2 linked regions of the Mytilus edulis genome follow. The protein of the gene in region 1 interacts with the protein of each later gene in a pairwise test. Links are inferred from orthologs where the notes say so. Each region holds a gene or a part of one and is shown on either strand. Other genes may lie near its edges.

Region 1 (9,568 bases):
CAATCTATATATATTTTCTGAGGTGCAGCAAAATTGTAATTTTGGTCTTACTATAGTCTGATAAGCTCTGTTTCCTTTACTAATTTAAGTTTATTTTTAGATTCCGTCTGATGAATGGTATTGATTGAGTTACCGTTTTCAGTGCTGCTGATTGTTATATGTATGTATGTATGTGTTTTTTTTTTTTTTGTTTTTTTTTTTTTTTATGTCTGCAGGAAGTGTAATGTCTAGATATTTTGCTGATTGTTCTTGTTCTAGGAAATAGCCATGCGTGTTGTAATAGAAATTGTTTTTTCTTTGTTGAGACTCTAAGGATGTTACATTTGTCCGGGTGGAATGATATGTGCCATACATTGCAGTCTTCCTCCTTTTTATGCCCCACCTCCGATAGGAGAGGGGCATTATGTTTTCTTGTCTGTGCGTCCGTCCGTCCGTCCCGCTTCAGGTTAAAGTTTTTGGTCAAGGTAGTTTTTGATGAAGCTGAAGTCCAATCAACTTGAAACTTAGTACACTTGTTGCTTATAATATGATCTTTCTAATTTTAAAGCCAAATTAGACTTTTGACCCCAATTTTACGGTCCACTGAACATAGAAAATGAAAGTGAGAGTTTCAGGTTAAAGTTTTTGGTCAAGGTAGTTTTTGATGAAGTTGAAGTCCAATCAACCTGAAACGTAGTACACATGTTCCCTATGGTATGATCTTTCTAATTTTAATACCAAATTTGATTAATTTTACCCAATTTCATGGTCTATTGAACATGGAAAATGATAGTGCGAGTGGGGCATCCGTGTACTTTGGACACGTTCTTGTTTTATTGCTGCTTTGATGTCTTCTTAAATTGAAGCTTAATGCAATCATTTTGGTAGGTTATATGCCGATAGATAATGCTGTCGTCTGCAAAGAGTCTTATTTTACTGTTACCAAGAAGGTCGTTAATATCATACTAGAACATGGAGAACTGAGAGTATTGGTGCTATTACAGTCCGCTGAGGAACTTGTCTATTCAGTAGACTCTTGCTTCGTAAATTTTTATCACATACGTTCATTTGAAAGACATGCGTATGACTTTATTCAGAGAAAGATCGAATCAAATAAAATCAAATAACTCAAATAAAATGTATACTAAGTCGGTTAATTAAAAAGCATATATAACGCTTGGGAAGTTTGCCAGTTGTCATGATTTGTGTACATTTGTTTCTATCAAGGCTAGAAAAGTTTGCCAGTTGTTATATTTGTGTACATTTGTTTCTATCAAGGCTTGAAAAGTTTATTGTTGGGTTTGCCAGTTGTTATATTTGTGTACATTTGTTTCTATCAAGGCTTGAAAAGTTTATTGTTGGGTTTGCCAGTTGTTATATTTGTGTACATTTGTTTCTACCAAGGCTTGAAAAGTTTGCCAGTTGTTATATTTGTGTACATTTGTTTCTATCAAGGCTTGAAAAGTTTGTTGTTGGTTTGCCAGTTGTTATATTTGTGTACATTTGTTTCTATCAAGGCTTGAAAAGTTTATTGTTGGGTTTGCCAGTTGTTATATTTGTGTACATTTGTTTCTATCAAAGCTTGAAAAGTTTGCCAGTTGTTATATTTGTGCACATTTGTTTCTATCAAGGCTTGAAAAGTTTATTGTTGGGTTTGCCAGTTGTTATATTTGTGTACATTTGTTTCTGTCAAGGCTTGACAAGTTTGCCAGTTGTTATATATTTGTGTACATTTGTTTCTGTCAAGGTTTGAAAAGTTTGCCAGTTGATATATTTGTGTACATTTGTTTCTATCAAGGCTTGGAAAGTTTGCCAGTTGTTATATTTGTGTACATTTGTTTCTATCAAGGCTTGGAAAGTTTGCCAGTTGTTATATTTGTGTACATTTGTTTCTATCAAGGCTTGAAAAGTTTATTGTTGGTGCATGATTGAGGATTTGTTGCATCTTATATACTTGTTTATACTCAATTGAATTATAGTATGGAGCTAAGCAATATTTATACACTTTTAACAGACGATTATATCAATTAATGGTAAAAAATATATAACAATGGAACAATATCAAAATGAAACCTTTAGCATGTAGTTTTATTAAATTGAACTACACTTGACTGTTTCGGAGATCCGAGAAAATATTCAAATATCTGAGTCACATCAAACATCTTCACATATAAATAAAACCTTTGTTGTGTACAACATGTACAAATTTTAACCAAAAGATATCTTCTTCATCTTCTTGTGCTTCTTCAATATCTTCTTCTTGCAGCATACGTGCCTGTTGTAATGCACTATCCAGTTTGTATACAGAAATCTTCAAATGGAAATAATTACAGTACATGACTGTATGTTTCATTTTGATACGTTATTCCTATTGTCTACCAGCAATCTCACGTCATTCAGAAATCAACCTTAATTTCCAAATCATCGGAAATATAACATTCGTGATGACAAGAGATACTTCTATTAAGTACACAGGTAAATAAAAGAAAAACTTTAACAGTCGTGTTTTCATGATCCTTCCTCGCTTCATACAAAATGTACTTCGGTCAACGCTTTTACACCTCTAAACATTTATGACATGCACAGCTGTAATATTCTCTGTGTGCTTCTTGGTTCAACGGTTGTCTGCTGCCAAGAATGCTGTTCTTCCATTTTCTTTTTCTGGTGGATGGAACCAGCAACTGCTTCGAATTTTTAACGGGTTTAATTTGATCAATTTGCATCCCGCTGTGTGAGTAACGTTGCCGTGTTGATTTTTTTGTACCACTTGTTCTTTCGTTATTTCTGGAACGCATGGTTTGTGCCGTTTATACAGTGGCGCCCTATCAGGAAGTTTTGTGCTGTTTCATATCCTCCGAAATCACACAGCTATGTTGTAGACCGCCCAAGTGTATATTCATTGTGGTCCAGATCCATTTATCCTTATGTCATAATTGTTTGTAATGTGACTTAGCTGGATATTAAGAATATATGTCATTTACCATTTGCATAAAAGGGTAATTAGCTGTTAAAAGTTTTAACTGATTTGACTCAAATTCTCATATTTAAATTATACATACTAAAACGTATACCCAAATAATAAAAAGTTTAAACTACACAATTGACGATGCACGGACTCGATCATATGTATCAATATTTCATGTGTATTTTAGTCTAAATGCCATCTAATCAGTAAGCATCGAGGTAATCTCAGAAGACTGCCGACGATCATATAACCCGATTTAACTTAAAATAGATAGCGAACTGAGTACTCGTGCAATTGTATTTTTTCAGGTCTGTTTGAATTAATATCGTAGGTTTAAAACATATGTTTATAATCGTTTTTACCTGTATAACAATTTTTTTTTTAATCCAATCAGTCATTTTTATATAACTTAGACCGTTGGTTTTCCCGTTTGAATGGTTTTACATTACTAATTGTTGGTGCCCTTTATAGCTTGCTTTTCGGTGTGAGCCAAGGCTCTGTGTTGAAGGCCGTACCTGGACCTATAATGGTTTACATTTATAAATTGTTATTTGGATGGAGAGTTGTCTCATTGGCACTCATACCACATATTTATAATAGTCAGTCAGTGAATAATTAAAAAAAAATAAAAATTGAATGGATGATTCCTAGCCATGAAAATTTGTCCTGCTCATGTAACTGTGATGATTCCAACAATGATGCAGATAACAATGTATCACAATTTTCAGTACTCTAACATTTCATGAATTGTTTCTAGAACAGTGAATAACGCCAAACCTCTCCCATTCCACCAATATTTATGTTTTTGTTCACAGTGATAAACAGTTACATATTTTTAATCAACTTTCTTTGCTCAAGATTAAAAAAAAAAGCAATATTATCTGGGGGTTACTTTTTCGAGAAACTCCACATCTCATTACCATATAATACACCTAATCGCTATTTATTCCATTCCGGATAAGTTCTAAAATTACACAACTTTTTCATCCAGTTGAAGCTATCTTGGACCCTGTTTAAACAATTCACCATGCATGATACTTTTTAATGAGACCTGTTTAAACTACCGTAAATACTTCAAACAAAATATTTTTTTTACTTCAATTTTAATTTCGAAAAAAGTGGATCATACTATATCAAAGTTTCTTGATGATCACTTTCTAATTTTTTTTCTCCCTCAGCTCACTACTGGTGACCTCCATTTTTTGGCCGGTGACCCAAACAGGAAGTTGTATAAATGACTGTTTTTCCCGGAATGGACTAAATAGCGATCAGGTGTATAGAATTGGCTTCTCTGCTAAGGCAGCAAGCATTTGATTTTCTGGGGGGGGGGGGGGGGGGGGCTATGTTTTTTTTTGGAAAAAAAAGTTTGTTTCCATTTTTTGGAGAAAAAAAATCATTTGTTTTTGATTCTGAGAAAAAAAAAATGTTTGTTTCACCCTCAGCTGCCACTATATGTAATGCTAAAATTGAAAGAAAAAAGATGTTTTCGACTTGTCGCGAAAAAAATCACAGGTGCTTGAGGACAGGATCCTGTATGAGCCCCAAATAGTCCCTCCCCCTTTTTTAAAATTTTTTTTTTTTAATCATAAATCTCAGATTTTTCTATATATATCCCTTATTTGTACCATATATATACTAATATACCATATTTATACTCTAAATATGCATGTTTACTATCAATAGTATAAATATGGTATATTAGTATATATATGGTACAAATAAGGGATATATATAGACAAATCTGAGATTTATGATTAAAAAAAAAATTTAAAAAAAGGGGGAGGGACTATTTGGGGCTCATACAGGATCCTGTCCTCAAGCACCTGTGAAAAAAATAGATTGTTTTTCGCAGCAGGCAAAAAAAAAATTGTCCCCCCCCCCCCCCCCCCCCGAAAATCAAATGGTTGCTGCCTTATCAAAAATACGAAAACATGTTTTTATCTAATATAAAACATATTTATCGTTTAAGATCAACTGACTCTTATGCTCAGAATTCATTTGTTGTCATGTTTAAAAGAAGTCGTGTTGGTATTTGGGTGAGTCTAAACGCGGACCTCTAAGAGGACACCTCCATGTTTCGTTCTTTCGGAATTTCGGATTTGAGCCTCAGGAGGAATCAATTTTTTAAGATTATTATATTGGTTAAGCTCACCGTTCATTGTAAACACTACAAAAAAAATCCATTTTGAAACAAACATTTTGAATTTTCACAAAATATAAAAACATTTGGAAATTATAAATAGAAAATAAGTATAACAATCCTGAAATAGCGGATCCCTTTAATCACGTGATTTATTAGTTTTGAATAGCCGCCATCTTTGCTGTTTCCTGTTTGTGGTCGTTTCCTGATTATCGTGAAGTGTCGCCAAACAATAATCCTGCATAAAATTAAGAGATAAAAATCACTGCAACAAATGTGTTTGCCATAAATTAATCACATCCTAGCGATTGCTTAAATAATAATAGACAGAATCTTGCAAACCACGAAGTGGGTGTGAGCACAAGAACACCAGCTTTTCGCAAGACATGCCGGTCAGAAAACAAGGTGCATTGCATTCCTGTTTATCATGAATATGTATATAATCAGTGTATAAAAGGCACATTGTTATAACCACGTTATATATTACAATAGTCACTATTGTAATATATCTGGGATATCTGGTCAACAAATTATTGCTTATTATCTTTTCAATCACATAGACCTTATGTCAAAAAAGAACAACTGTAGGTTGAAATTCATAAATAAAACAGTCTTAATGTGCAGTAAATATATGGTATTGTGTCCGTTAGCCCTGATAGGATGCTTGCCCAGGGACTGTTCACCCTGAGTCTATTTCCCCATAGAGTCTGTACGCCCTGGATATTAAACTTCTCCATTCTTTTATTGAAAAATATTTGTATGAGGGTGTCAAAGTTGAATATACTTATTCAGATATTTATATGGTATATAAATTCTAGTATAAATGAAAACACATGAAAATATTTAAAATTAATGGCGTGTTTGTGAGAATTGTAATTGTTCTTAATACTATATCTCTCACTGCTTGTCATAATAATTAATTGTCTTTGATGGATGAATAATAAAAACAACATTTTGTTTTGATAATTTAGTCAGCTTGAAATTTGAAATGAGTAAAAACAATTGTGTAGGAATTGTAAAACATAAGTTCATTCATTATAATATAATATAAATTGACTGACTAGAATTATTAAAATTGTAAAAGATATCAATATTAAAAGATAAATACATTGTATTCCAAAATTCTACTATGCAGACTAAAGGAAAATATTTGGTTGCAGCAATACAAATATTTTAGCAAATTTTTCCACATAAAGTAACATACTTTGTTCATGTTCAAATATTATATGAACATGATAGTGCAACTAGACAACAATATAAAAAACAAAAATCTGGGCAAACAGGTATAAGTGCAAACTAACCCTGGTTCTAAAATTACAACAACAAAAAACAGTCTTCACGCTGAACTGCTAAATTTACAGGCCCGCAGCTTAATTTTTGAAATTTTTTAGTTAGTTTCTGTTGGTCTGTAGGTCTGATTTTTTCAGGCCTGAGAGAAATTTTACCAGTTTTACCAGCCTGAGCTGCCACTCGGCGTGAAGACTGCAAAGGCTTTTGCTTTACTATAAAAGTTAACATGCATCTTCTTGATGAATTAACTCAAATAATTCATTTGCTCCCCATGAAAGATTTTCTCTACTGTGAGAACCTGAATTCCTTTTATGATTAAAACATGTTCTCATCAATGTTCTCTGTGTGAGAGAGTCAATCAGCAGAAATACAATGTTATTGAGGTAGATAAAAAAAAACAAAAAAAAGAAACATTTAAATTGAGTTATAAATCTAGTGAAAACAAGACCTACGTGTATAATTGTTAATTTCTGTGTCATTTGATCTCTTGTGGAGAGTTGTTTCATTGGCAATATTAGTGAATCATACCATATCTTCTTTTTTATATGCACAAACTGGCCAAACCATCGCCTCGATTAAAAAAAATTGTACCATTAATAATATATATGAGAAATTAAAAAGTATATTGTCTGTGAGAAACTGTTCTCAAACTCTCTCCCACTTGCAAAATAAAATATCCCATTGTAACTTGGCCCATCTGCGTTCTTGATATGTTCTAGCTATAGTCTTTTAAATTTATACACACCACTTAAAAAATGCTTAAGTAACGGCTCGTGTAGTAAATTTAAATCTTATACTATTTTAGTGTTTTAACTTATTTTCAAATTCAACATTTTATAACTAAAATGAAACAAATTCAGGAAATATGCCTGACTTTTTTTCTGAAATTGAATAGTCCTTATCTGATTTATGAAAAATTTACATGCACATGCAAATTTCTCAAAATATCTAATTTTTTTGTTACTTCATGTAAGTGCTAGTGATTACATACATGTATTCAGTGAAAGCTTCATCTTTTGGTTTACGCTTTCCTGGATACATGTACCTGAGGCTGATTGTTTATGTCTTTGAAAATGAAGAGGTTACTGCGAACAGGTGAATGTTGCTTTCGAACAAGATGTTTAATACAATTTTGCATTTTTCTTTTTTCTCTTCTTTTCATAGATGCCCACAGGGCTTTAGAATTGTTAGAGGACTACCATTCCAGGCTTAGTCTTCCACAAGACACCCAGCTCAAGGTTGCTATAGAGAAAGTCATAAGAATTTTCAAAAGTCGCCTATTTCAGGCACTTCTTGGTATGTAAAATTAATATTTAAGGTGGAAGTTCTTCTTTTATTTAAGACAGAGTGATTGGCTCAATTTTTGGAATACAACATTTTTACATAAGGTACATGCACATGATCCACATTAACTTAGTTTGCATGATACGCAATGATTAAGGCCTTTATTATTATCTACATGTATATAAAAACTGAATATTATTGCATTTCAATAACAAGTGATTTGCACAAAGTTACTGATTTAGTATTAGTTATAATTACTGCATTACAAATTTATAATAATGGTTTTATACTTTGCTTAACAAAGCAAGGACTGTAGTACTGAATTTGGCATGTACAGAGGCTAAAATTATGTTCATGGTTTTAACCTATTTAAATGTTACATAATGTACTATCACATTAGAATAAAAAAAAAATGTATCTGGTATAAATGGAGCTAATTGAAAATGATACTAACTTCTGTTTTCAGACATACAAGAGTTTTATGAGTATACATTGTTAGATGACTCAAAATCTATACAACAGAAGACATTGGAGACCTTACAGATAGCTAACAAGTGGGAGAGAGAACCACCTATCACCAATGCTCTTCCTAAACTTGAGGTTGTTATTGTACCTAGAAATGTTAATTCATGATTTTGCAGAAAGCTCAAATATTAATATTATAATCTCAATATGTTACCCATTTAAGATGATATGAATAAGAAGATATTGTACGAGTGTTAATGAGACAACCTTCAATCCAAGTCACTATGTATAAAAAGTTCACAATAATAGGTCTAAGTACAGCCTTAAACATGCCAGAGGCTTGGCAAAATTGAGACAAAATTCTATCTTATTTGTTTTACATAATTTATAGAAGTTGATTCAAATTAGCAAAGCTGTCTTATTAAGTGAAGGGCATATGCATAGCTACACAGATCAAATTGTCAAGTGTGTTTTACAGTTGCATTTCAAATAAAATTTGTATATGACAGCAAAATTTTTGCATAAGTACATGCATTTGTTGTCAGCAATATTGTCAAAAGACTTTTTGTTTCCTGACAATATCTTGAATATAAGTGTATAGATTCACACCACAAAAGTAAGGTTGTGATTGATTTTGGTGATCATTAAAATTTCAAGCAGGATAGTCGAACTCAGAAATCAACCAATCAAAATACAGAAATTTGTTGTTTCAAGCAAATATTTTGTACTCCTGAGTACTGTGTAAAGTAAAATAACAATAAGCCCTAGAGATCAATCTACAATTCATTTTATACCAATAAATATCTGACTTTCAGAAGTTTTATTTTGCAAATTTATGCTTCTAGAAAACTGTGTCACCTCCTGATGAAGAGTTACCTCCCCCTCCACCAGAGTTACAAAATAGACAGGTTGAACCAAAGACATTAGCTTCTGTATCCCCTGTCAAACCACCAGTTGTTAGCACATACCATGAAGATGACATTGACAACACTCTTCCACCACCAGTAAGTAGAGATATATCCTTGTACACAAGTTACTCACCATTATCTTAATACATGTATCAGCAATTCCTAAACTAAAGAGTGCTTCTGGGGAGCCAACATAGTCTTTTAATGTAACTGTGTGCTGTATCTATTAGGTTATTGTCCCTTCTTGAACTCATTGTGTGAAATGATGAGGGTCTGAACTTCCGCTCCACCTTGTTAGGGCTGTCATGTGTACAGTTTTTGCATATCATAGGTTCATTTCAGTAATGTCTTGAACAAGTTTGAAAATCAGTGCTGATCAATTATTGTATAAAAAAGTTATGTCCCTTGGAAAGATTGATTATATGGAAAATTGCAATATCAGCACTCTCATGTGTACAATTCTTGCCAGAATTTTTTGCAACTTATAAGCAATGTCTTTGACAAGTATAACAATCAATTATTTTTAAGAGTTATACC
Region 2 (10,005 bases), on another chromosome or scaffold:
TCAAATGGGATTACGATCTTACATCCCAATTTCTTGTTCTCTAATCGATACCATTTAATAATCAGCACCACTCATTTATCCCCAAGTAATTCAATAGTTTTGTGCTTCGGCACAATAGAATTGAGAATGGAAATGGGGAATGTGTCAAAGAGACAACAACCTGACCATAGAAAAAACAACAGCAGAAGGTCACCAACAGGTCTTCAATGTAGCGATAAATTCCCGCATCCGGATGCGTCCTCCAGCTGGCCCCTACACAAATATATACTAGTTCAGTGATGAACGCCATACTAATTTCCAAATTGTACACAAGAAACTAAAATAAAAATAATACAAGATTAACAAAGGCCAGAGGCTCCTGACTTGGGACAGGCACAAAAATGCGGCGGGGTTAATTAAACATGTTTATGAGATATCAACAATGTTCTTTATTTTATAAGTCTTATTCCACTGGCCGTGAAAAACTTAATTATGGAGCAGGATGCTTGGTTTTCTTATTTCAAAAATTTAAATGAAAAAGACACTAATGCATCCTGTGATCATTTAAAAGATAAGCTAAAAGACATGGAAAGAGAAAAAATATTTACTGAACTTGATAATTTGATTTCAAAAGCAGAAATAGAAAAGGCGATTAGTACACTTAAAAATAAAAAAGCAAGTGGTTTCGACTCAATTTTAAATGAAATGTTAAAGTCCAGTCAAACATGAGTCTTGTTTTCAAAAATTGTTTAATAGTATCTTAAACTCAGGATATTTTCTCAAAATTTGGACAAAAGGATATATTAATAGTTCCTTTATTTAAAAGTGGTTCAAAAGATGATCCTTCAAAGACCCTCTTCAAATTGTAGAGGAATTACCATTGGAAATTGTTTAGGCAAGTTATGTGTGGAAATTTTAAATATTCGTTTAGAGAAGGTTTTGGCAAGTAGAAATATTATTAAACCGGAACAAATTGGTTTCTGTAAAGGCAAGCGCACCAGTGATCATCATTTAGTTTTGAGAACTCTTATAAAAAAGTATACTCAACAAGGCAATAAAAAATTCTTTACATGCTTTGTTGACCTACGAAGAGCCTTTGATACTGTTAATCATGATGGACTTTTTTTATAAACTGAGAAATATTGGAGTCAGTGATTTATTTTATAACACTCAGATATGTATAATAATATTGAGCTAGTGTAAAGGTAGACAAATATTCTATGACTGAAAACTTTACATCTAACATAGGAGTCAAACAAGGGGATAATTTAAGCCCCACTTTATTTAAAATTTTTATAAATGATATTCTTGACTCTTATGATGAGACCTGTAAACCTGCTTACAGCTTAATTGCTTATTGTATGCAGATGACTTAGTAGTGATGTCAGAAACAGCTGATGGTCTACAGAGGTGTATTGATACACTATATAATTACTGTGATAAATGGGGACTCCAAATAAATATAAAGAAAACTAAATCAGTAGTATTTATTAAAACAGGAAAACTAGATGAACAAATATTTAATATTAATAATATACCTATTGAAAGGGCTAGGGGCTATAAATATTTAGGAATTTATGTGAGTGCAAGTGGAAGCTTTACAGAGGCTAAAGATGATTTATAGAAAAGGGGATTGAAAGCTTTATTTAAATATTAAAACAGTTTTAACTTATATAAACCTAAAATTAACACACTTTCACATATATTTGATCATACTGTGAAACCTGTGTTGTTATATGGGAGTGAAATATGGGGATCTTCAGTAATAAATAAACTATATTAAAATGAACATGATCTTTTTAAAATATGCAAGGACATGAAACAAGAAAGTATTCATGTCAAATTCTGTAAATTTTCTTTGGGTTTAGGTAAAAAATCTACAAATATAGCTGTATTGGGTGAAATGAGAAGATATCCCTTATTTCTTTAAGTAATTTTCAATATGTTTAGATATTATAAAAATATATTAAAGTCTGATCAGGCGCGGATCCAGAGGGGGGGGGGGGTTCTGGGGGTTGGAACCCCCCCTTTTTGGACGATCAATGCATTTGAATGGGGGCATGTAGTTGGAACCCCCCTCCTTTGTCCTGGGTTAGGAACCCCCCTTTTTAAAATGGCTGGATCCGTCCCTGCTGATTATATCCTTCTCTCTGAAGCCCTGAATGTCTCTAGATCACTAAATAGTTTAAACAAAAATAGTTGGTATAGTTGTATTGCTGTTCTTATGAAATATCTTGATATAGATCTTAAACTTGTTAAAAATTCAAAGAAGGATTTAAAATCCCTAATTTACCAGAAATTAAAACAGAAATATTCTTGTATTTGGAAATCTGAACTTTACAATGATAGACAAAATAAACAGCATGGAAATAGACTAAGAACTTACAGATTATTTAAAGAAAATATTTATATGGAAAAATACTTATTAATTTTAAATGAGGATGAAAGGCGACTGCTCACTAAGTTCAGAGTCAGTGCACATAAATTAGAAATTGAAAGAGGCAGATATGTGGGGCTTCGAGTGGAGGATAGAATATGTAAATTATGTAACACTGAAGTTGAAGATGAAATTCATTTTCTTCTTCAGTGTCCTGTTTTAGAAAATAAAAGATCTGAATATATAGATTACTTAAATAAGGTTAACAAAAACTTTAAAAGACTCCCAAATAAATCAAAATTAATATGGTTTATGCAAGGATTTGTACAAATCCTTAGTTTATGTCATCTGAAGATAATGTTATAATTAAAAAAGTAAGTTTATTATTGTGTACTTTATTCAAAGAGAGAAAATCAATTATAGATACAGTTTAGTCACCGGTAGTTTGTCCATCTATATTATATTGTAAAACTATATATATTTCTGCAGAAATTATTTGGTTGAAAATACTTGACTTTGTTTAATTGTTAAATAATCAATGTAATCAATATGTAATCACTTGTATGAAATTGAACTTAATTGTACTGCTCAAATTATTGGGCGTCATAATTGACAATAAAAAACTTTGTATTGTATTGTATATGTTACAGTAAATAGGTGAAATTAGGAATTACATGTAATTACTAAAATTTAGGAATTACATGTAATCCCCGATGTACTTAGTAAATACAAGTAATTCCTGAAACGGCCCAGTTATTACCAGTAATTACTAATTTTAAAATGAATTTTTACACCTATTTACTAACTGTTAAAACAATGTTGTAATATGGTAAGCTGATCAAAAGTTATGGGAATTCTAGCTATAGAATATTCACTCTGTGGTTAAAGTTTTTGAAATTTTAATACCTTTCTTAAACTATACTGGATTTCTACGAAACTTGGACAGAAGCTTGTTTATGATCATAAGAAAGTATCCAGAAGTAAATTTTGTAAAAATAAAATTCCATTTTTTCCGTATTTTACTTATAAAGGGACTTAGTTATTCTGCGAGGAAACATTACATTCACTCTGTGGTTAAAGTTTTTAAAATTTTAATAACTTTCATATAAACTATCCATGATTTGTACCAAACTTGGACAGAAGCTTGTTTATGATCATAAGATAGTATCAAGAAGATAATTTTGTAAAAATAAATTTCCACTTTTCCGTATTTTACTTATAAATGGACTTAGTTTTTTTGCCAGAAACAAAACATTCATTCTGTGGTTTAAGTTTTTAAAATTTTTATAATGTTCTTAAACTATCCTGGATTTCTACCAAACTTGGACAAAAGCTTGTTTGTGATCATAAGATATTATTCAGAAGTAAATTTTGTAAAATAAAATCCACTTTTTCCGTATTTTACTTATAAATGGACTTAGGTTTTCTTCCAGTTAACATTACATACCGTCTGCAGTTAAAGTTTATAAAACATTTATTAGATTCATAAACTATCCTGGATTTTTACCAAATTTGGAAGCTCTTTCAATAAAAAAAACAGTATCGAGAGGGAAATTTTTGTTGTTGTTTTTCCTCATTTTTGTTGAGTCTGCAATTAACAGCAAACTGAGTAGGCGAGACACTGGGTTCCGCGGAACCCTTACGAATTTTTTTGTTTGTTAAATCATTAATGAAAATTATATAGGGAAATTATAATTCACTTTTAGCAGTCAATCTGGTTCTATTTTACTAAAATAAGCAGAGAAACATGGTTGATGATTTTTGCACTTGCAAGTGAATAATTGGACCTCATGTGAACTTCAATTCAACACCTAGCTGAAGATAGGTTACCGATGTATTCAGATTTAAAATTGTAAGGGTTTCGCAGAACCCAGTATCTCGCCTACTTTAGCTGTTAGTCGCAGGCTCAACAAAAATGGGGGGAAAATATCAAATATTTTGACTAGTGCTGTAAGAAGCTTCTGTCTTAATTTGGTTAAAATCCAGGATGGTTTATGAAATCTAATAAATGTTTAAAAAAACTTTAATCGCAGACTGTATGTAATGTTAAGTGGGGGAAAAAAGTCCATTTATAAGGAATATACCAAAAGGGATTTTTTACTTTGTATATTATCTTATGATCATAAACAAGCTTCTGTCCAAGTTTGGATATTCTGAGAAAGTTATAAAAAAATTTAAAACTTTAACCACAATGTGAATGTAATGTTAACTGGCATATATAAGTCCATTTATAAGTAAAATACGGAAAAACTTAATGTTATTTTCACAAAATTTACTTCTTGAAAATTATCTCATAATTACAGTCAAGCTTCTGTTCACGTTTGGTAGAAATCCAGGATAATTTAAGAAAGTTATCAAAATTTGAAGACCTTTAACCACATAGTGAATACTTGTGAATGTTACTGACGACAGAATAGTTTGCTGTGTCTCGCTTTTGCGACAATGGTCGCAGGCTCGACAAAAAGAAACATAATCATAATGACAACATTGAAAGAAAATCAAAAGGAATGGCTTATTCAATCCACAACAGATTTTTCTTATACAGATAAAAACGGTAATAAAATTTTGTTGCAGGTATATAAGCTGGAGTTTTGAGTTCTTGAAAAACTCATAAAAAAGAGAAACACAAAAATATGAAATGTGACCCTTAACACCATCAAATTGTATAAATTTGTTTGTGAAGAATGTCAGCTTTATCACGACAGTCTGACAAAAGAAGTCGTAAATAAAACTATTTTATAAAAGGAATTTGACTTATGTCATTGGGCAAGTTTATATGCAACAACAACAACAAACAACAAATATTTTATTTGCCAATCACGGCGCCCAAAATGAGCAGAACAATTACAATGTTATTTTCAAACATAATGTAAAGTAAATTAAAAATAGGTTAAAAGGACATAATATGATTGATTTTGATTTAATTGATCAATATAAAATATTAAAGCAAATGAAGTAAGCAGAGTATGCCTGATGAAGATTGCAATATAAAGAAATTATGAGATTTTAAGAATTATTCAACCAAAATTGGCATTATCAAATGTTTATCATCAAAAAGAGCTGGCAAAGTTGACTATAAACTTCTCACAAATGTATATCTCAATTTTGGATTGATATCATTGTCTTGCATGCTGCAAATGATATTAAGGGAGTTTCAATACTTTTAAAACAACCATTTTTCAGTTTCAATTCACAACCACTAAAGGTGTGCCTTATATTCATTAATCCTTAATTAAGTCAGCCCTTAAATACCTACCCTTTTACTTTCTTATTTTGTATCTTGGATTATATCTTTAATTTTAAAACAAAAATATCAAGTTAGTAAATAGCTGTAAAAATGACAAAAAAAATCAGTGAATACCAGTAATCACTGAAACAACTAGTAAATACATGTAATTACTAAATTGGCTAGTAATTACAGGTATTTACTGAAATGTTTAGTAATTACGTGTGATTCCTAATTTCACCTATTTACTGTAACATATACACGTCAAAACCCGGAAACACAACATAACTGTCCGAACTTGATCCTACCCAATAAAAGAACCGGATGTAGTGATTGCGCAAGATCGACAATTTACTACACGTGAGTTTGCAGAAGCTTTTTCTGTATTCCAGTCCAAGAAGGTTTTGGACCTGAATTAAACATGTCGTGGCTGTTTGGTACAAATAAGGGACAGAATATTCAACCACCACAAATCCCCTACCCGCCCGCACCACCAGATGGCGATGACAAGGGAGGAAAAGATGGATCTCAGTCGAAAATGGATGCATACCGATTTGACTCTGCAGCCCTGGAAAGAGCAGCAAAAGCAGCTAAGGAATTGGAAGCTACAAGTAAGAACACGTTAAGTGTCATCCCTAACACTTGTATGACATATTGGTTTGATAAATAATGAATGCAACCATTACAAATTGCTGATGAAACAATGTCCTTGAAATCGAAGGTTACATAAAATCTCATTAGCCAATAGGCCATTTTATCTTACTATACTCTATAGTGTAAATGTTCCCAGTCTGATCATGTCAATTTTTAAATCTGTACTTGAAGTGGTGCATGTCATAATTATGTTGCTGTAGAGTACTCACCAGGCAATGATTATGCAGTGGTGGGTCCAGAATTTTTTATGAGTGGTCAATGAACTAACTTAACCCTCTTGTTGCAGACCGTTTTTCAAGGTTGCATTTCATGTGCCAGGAAATATGACAGCTCAACGTCTGTGACGTAACATGCCAAACAACTTCATTCGGTATATGACATCACAACATAATGGCTGTTACATTTGGGACCCATTGAACAAAAACAAAGCACAGTTTGATCTTGGATCTTATAATTGAAAGAGACGATGTGCTTGCATAAATTTAACTTTGGACATTTGTGTCACTCCTGCACAGCCGGAGTATACTCCTGAGTATAATCCCTCTGGCAGCAAGAGGGTTAAAAGGGAGGGGCGCTCCAATCATGTTAAAAGTGGTTCTCTATAATTGTCTTAACTTTTCACCAGAAAAGTCATGCCTTACTGAGATGTCATTATGCTGAGAAGCCATTTTCTTTAGGTTTGGATTTTGAGAGGGAATTTTCATTCAACTTTGAAACCAAATTTAACCGTAAAAATTTTTATTGACGGCAAACAAAAATTGCCTATACATCATGTACGTAAAATCATACTTTTATGCATTTATTAGTGCATTAAATTTTCAATAACTTCCCAAAGTAATGATAAATTAATTCTTGTAATCATGGTAATCATGGTATTGTATATTTGGGTGTACTGTGAATATTTAATAAACATGATACAAAAATCTATATGACAGTTTCTATGATATGATATTTTTTCTTCAGAACACTCCAAAGAAGCATTGGAATTATCTAAAATGCAAGAGACAACTTTACAACTTGAAAATCAAAAGAAGCTTAAGGTATTGTGGAATTTTGTCTATTGTCTAATACATGAGATTTATCATGTTTATGTGTTCTTAGATATAAGAAGATGTGGTATGAGTGCCAATGAGATCTCCCCATAAGTCATAATTTGTAAAAGTAAACCATTATAGGTCAATGTACAGACTTAAACACAGAGCCTTGGCTTACACCTAAAAGCAAGCTATAAAGGGCCACAAAAATGACTAGTGTAAAACCATTCAAACAAGAAAATCAACATTCTAATCTGTATAAAAAAAAAAGTAACAAGAAACATTTACGAACCTCATTAACAAACGACAACCACTGAAAATCAACTGTACATTTGATGAGCTGGTTAGTGGTAACAGTTTTTGTAAGACACAGGAAAATCATAAAATAAGTTTTTAAAAACAGTATAAAACATTCAAAACTTTGCTAATGATATATATATATTACATGTAGTGTGTCACAAAACATGAAATATTCAATTGAAAAATTAAAAATCTGTTAAAAGTTTCTTTTAAACATACATTATGTACATGTAACATGTCATGTGTACATGGTGTATGGATACTGTTAATTTAATATCCATGATGTCATGCTAAAATTGAAATGCTGGATTAACTACAAATTTTCATTAAAATCTTCTAATATGGTTATGCTTTGCACAACAATGCATATACATCCTTGCTTTTGAGAGGAAATCTTGGTGCTTAGTGTTGCCTCGTCCAACTCACAGTTTTTATGCAGTTCAATAAGTTTCTGTTAGATAGCATTCAAAATATTTCCATTTATATGATTATCATGTATAAATATTTTATAAGATATTGCCTGCCAAGCCAATCCTGTTCTAAACTACCATCAGGGTTTCCCTTGGGTCAATTATTTTTTTCGCCACGTCTTTCGCCAAAACAATATATTTTTCCCCACTTTATTATTTTTTTCGCCAAGTAACATAACTATATTTTTCGTTTAAAATTTTCCTTTTTTTCTTATCCCCTCCCCCCTTTTGCCTTAAATAAGTTGATTTTGTCCCATTGTGTCTATGATTATTCTGTCAAACTTATTTTAGAGTCTACATTTAATGAATAAACACTAAACATTTACTTTAAAACAACAGATTTTGTTTTTAACATAAAAGGGAAAAATATTTATTGTATTTTAAACAACTTTTAACCTGAGATCACCCTTAGTTTTTTGTGGAGTTCGTGTTGTTTATTCTTTAGTTTTCTATGTTGTGTCATGTGTACTATTGTTTTTCTGGGGTTTTTTTTCATTTTTAGCCATGGCATTGTCAGTTTGTTTTAGATTTATGAGTTTGACTGTCCCTTTGGTATCTTTCGTCCCTCTTTCTAAATGAGGGGGCCACTATACTTTTAATAATAAAGAAGATATAAGTCCTGGAATACAACAAAATTAATGGACATGTTTTGATTATATAATACCAGTATAGTTCGTAGGGAAAGTTTCTTTAAAAGAAAAATATTGATGTGCCCTTTTGTACTAAGAAGTGGTTTTTACAACAAAACAAAAGCTTTTATCACATGATATTTTGATCCCTCATTTCATGTGTAGTCATAACATTGAAGGGCTACTCTCATTCGAGGGGTTGTTCCCAACCTTTTGGATAGATTTCTTCATAACAACAGTTTTCTCTTCTTGACCATCGTAAATGAAAAGGTTGAGACGTAAAACTATGCTTGAAACACACGTGTCACTCAAACGACTTTAAAGTACTCTCCCTAATCAATTACCTATGTTAAAGTCAAAGGATAGTTAAAGTTTTAAATCGGAGATTTTTCTTGCTTTTGAAAATTTTTCGTCACAACAACAGCTTTCTTTTCTAAACTATCTTTAAAAGGAGAGGAGACGTCAAAAGTTTGCTTCAAACACGTGCGTCGCAAAGTGGTAAATAAATTCTGTATTTGACATTAGCGGAAGACATTTAACCATATCATTTTGTCAAACAATTCAATCAACACCTTTATTAATTAGTCCTTTGTTGTCGATAGCTATCAAATGCAATCAAATGCAATCAGCTGATTATTGATTTTCTGTCCAAATCGTAATAAGGTCAAGGTGAATTCCGAGTATTGTCTGATCGGGTAAAGTCAGAGCAAATTGCGAAAATGACGACCGCCAGCGGAAACCCTGACTACCATAGTACTGCCTCAAAACACCTATATATAGTTTTAACTTTTAAAAACTTGATTCATTTTTGTGTATTTTCCATTTGTTATTTTTGAATTGACTCTTATATTTAGGAAATGGAAGGCCAAATAGAACAGCTGAAAATAGAGCAAGCAAGAGTTGCACAAGAGGAAAGAAGAAAGACATTAGTTGAAGAAACAAAACAACATCAGCAGAGAGCTCAATTCCAGGATCAGTTGGCACGGAAACGCTATGATGATCAGTTATCACAACAAGTAAGGAAACTCGTGAAAACCTGAGTATGTTCTCCCTACCTTTGTAGCATTCACTGTCAGATCTACTTTTCAATGATTTCTTAACATAGTAATTGATATTTTATTCTGATATGAACATTCTATCAAGCATACCTGTGTTTTAACATAATAATGTATAAATTGAAATTAAAAAGCCCGACCTGGCATAACAAAGAAAATTCAGTGCTAAGGTTTTTGGTCATTTATTAAATGTTTAACTGTTTCTGCAGTAAAAACAAAACAAAAATTTATAAGAATAAGGTTATATACCATTATATTTTCTCAACATTTTAGCAGAAACA

Evidence for each region.
Region 2: the proteins of disks large homolog 1-like (region 1) and ATPase family AAA domain-containing protein 3-A-like interact in a two-hybrid assay, tested with the Caenorhabditis elegans proteins (3 studies listed by BioGRID). The link is inferred for Mytilus edulis from reciprocal best matches to the Caenorhabditis elegans genes dlg-1 and atad-3.

Annotation. Positions count from the first base shown.
Region 1 is NC_092346.1:79,104,992-79,114,559, forward strand, and holds the start of disks large homolog 1-like, read left to right. Parts: upstream 1-5,251; 5' UTR 5,252-5,470; coding exon 5,471-5,489; intron 5,490-7,538; coding exon 7,539-7,670; intron 7,671-8,124; coding exon 8,125-8,258; intron 8,259-8,968; coding exon 8,969-9,127; intron 9,128-9,568. UniProt on the Caenorhabditis elegans protein: Essential multidomain scaffolding protein required for normal development. Recruits channels, receptors and signaling molecules to discrete plasma membrane domains in polarized cells. Required for proper embryonic elongation.
Region 2 is NC_092356.1:55,627,298-55,637,302, forward strand, and holds the start of ATPase family AAA domain-containing protein 3-A-like, read left to right. Parts: upstream 1-5,905; 5' UTR 5,906-6,003; coding exon 6,004-6,193; intron 6,194-7,199; coding exon 7,200-7,276; intron 7,277-9,523; coding exon 9,524-9,685; intron 9,686-10,005. UniProt on the Caenorhabditis elegans protein: Essential for mitochondrial network organization, mitochondrial metabolism and cell growth at organism and cellular level. Important during development for the up-regulation of mitochondrial activity during the transition to higher larval stages.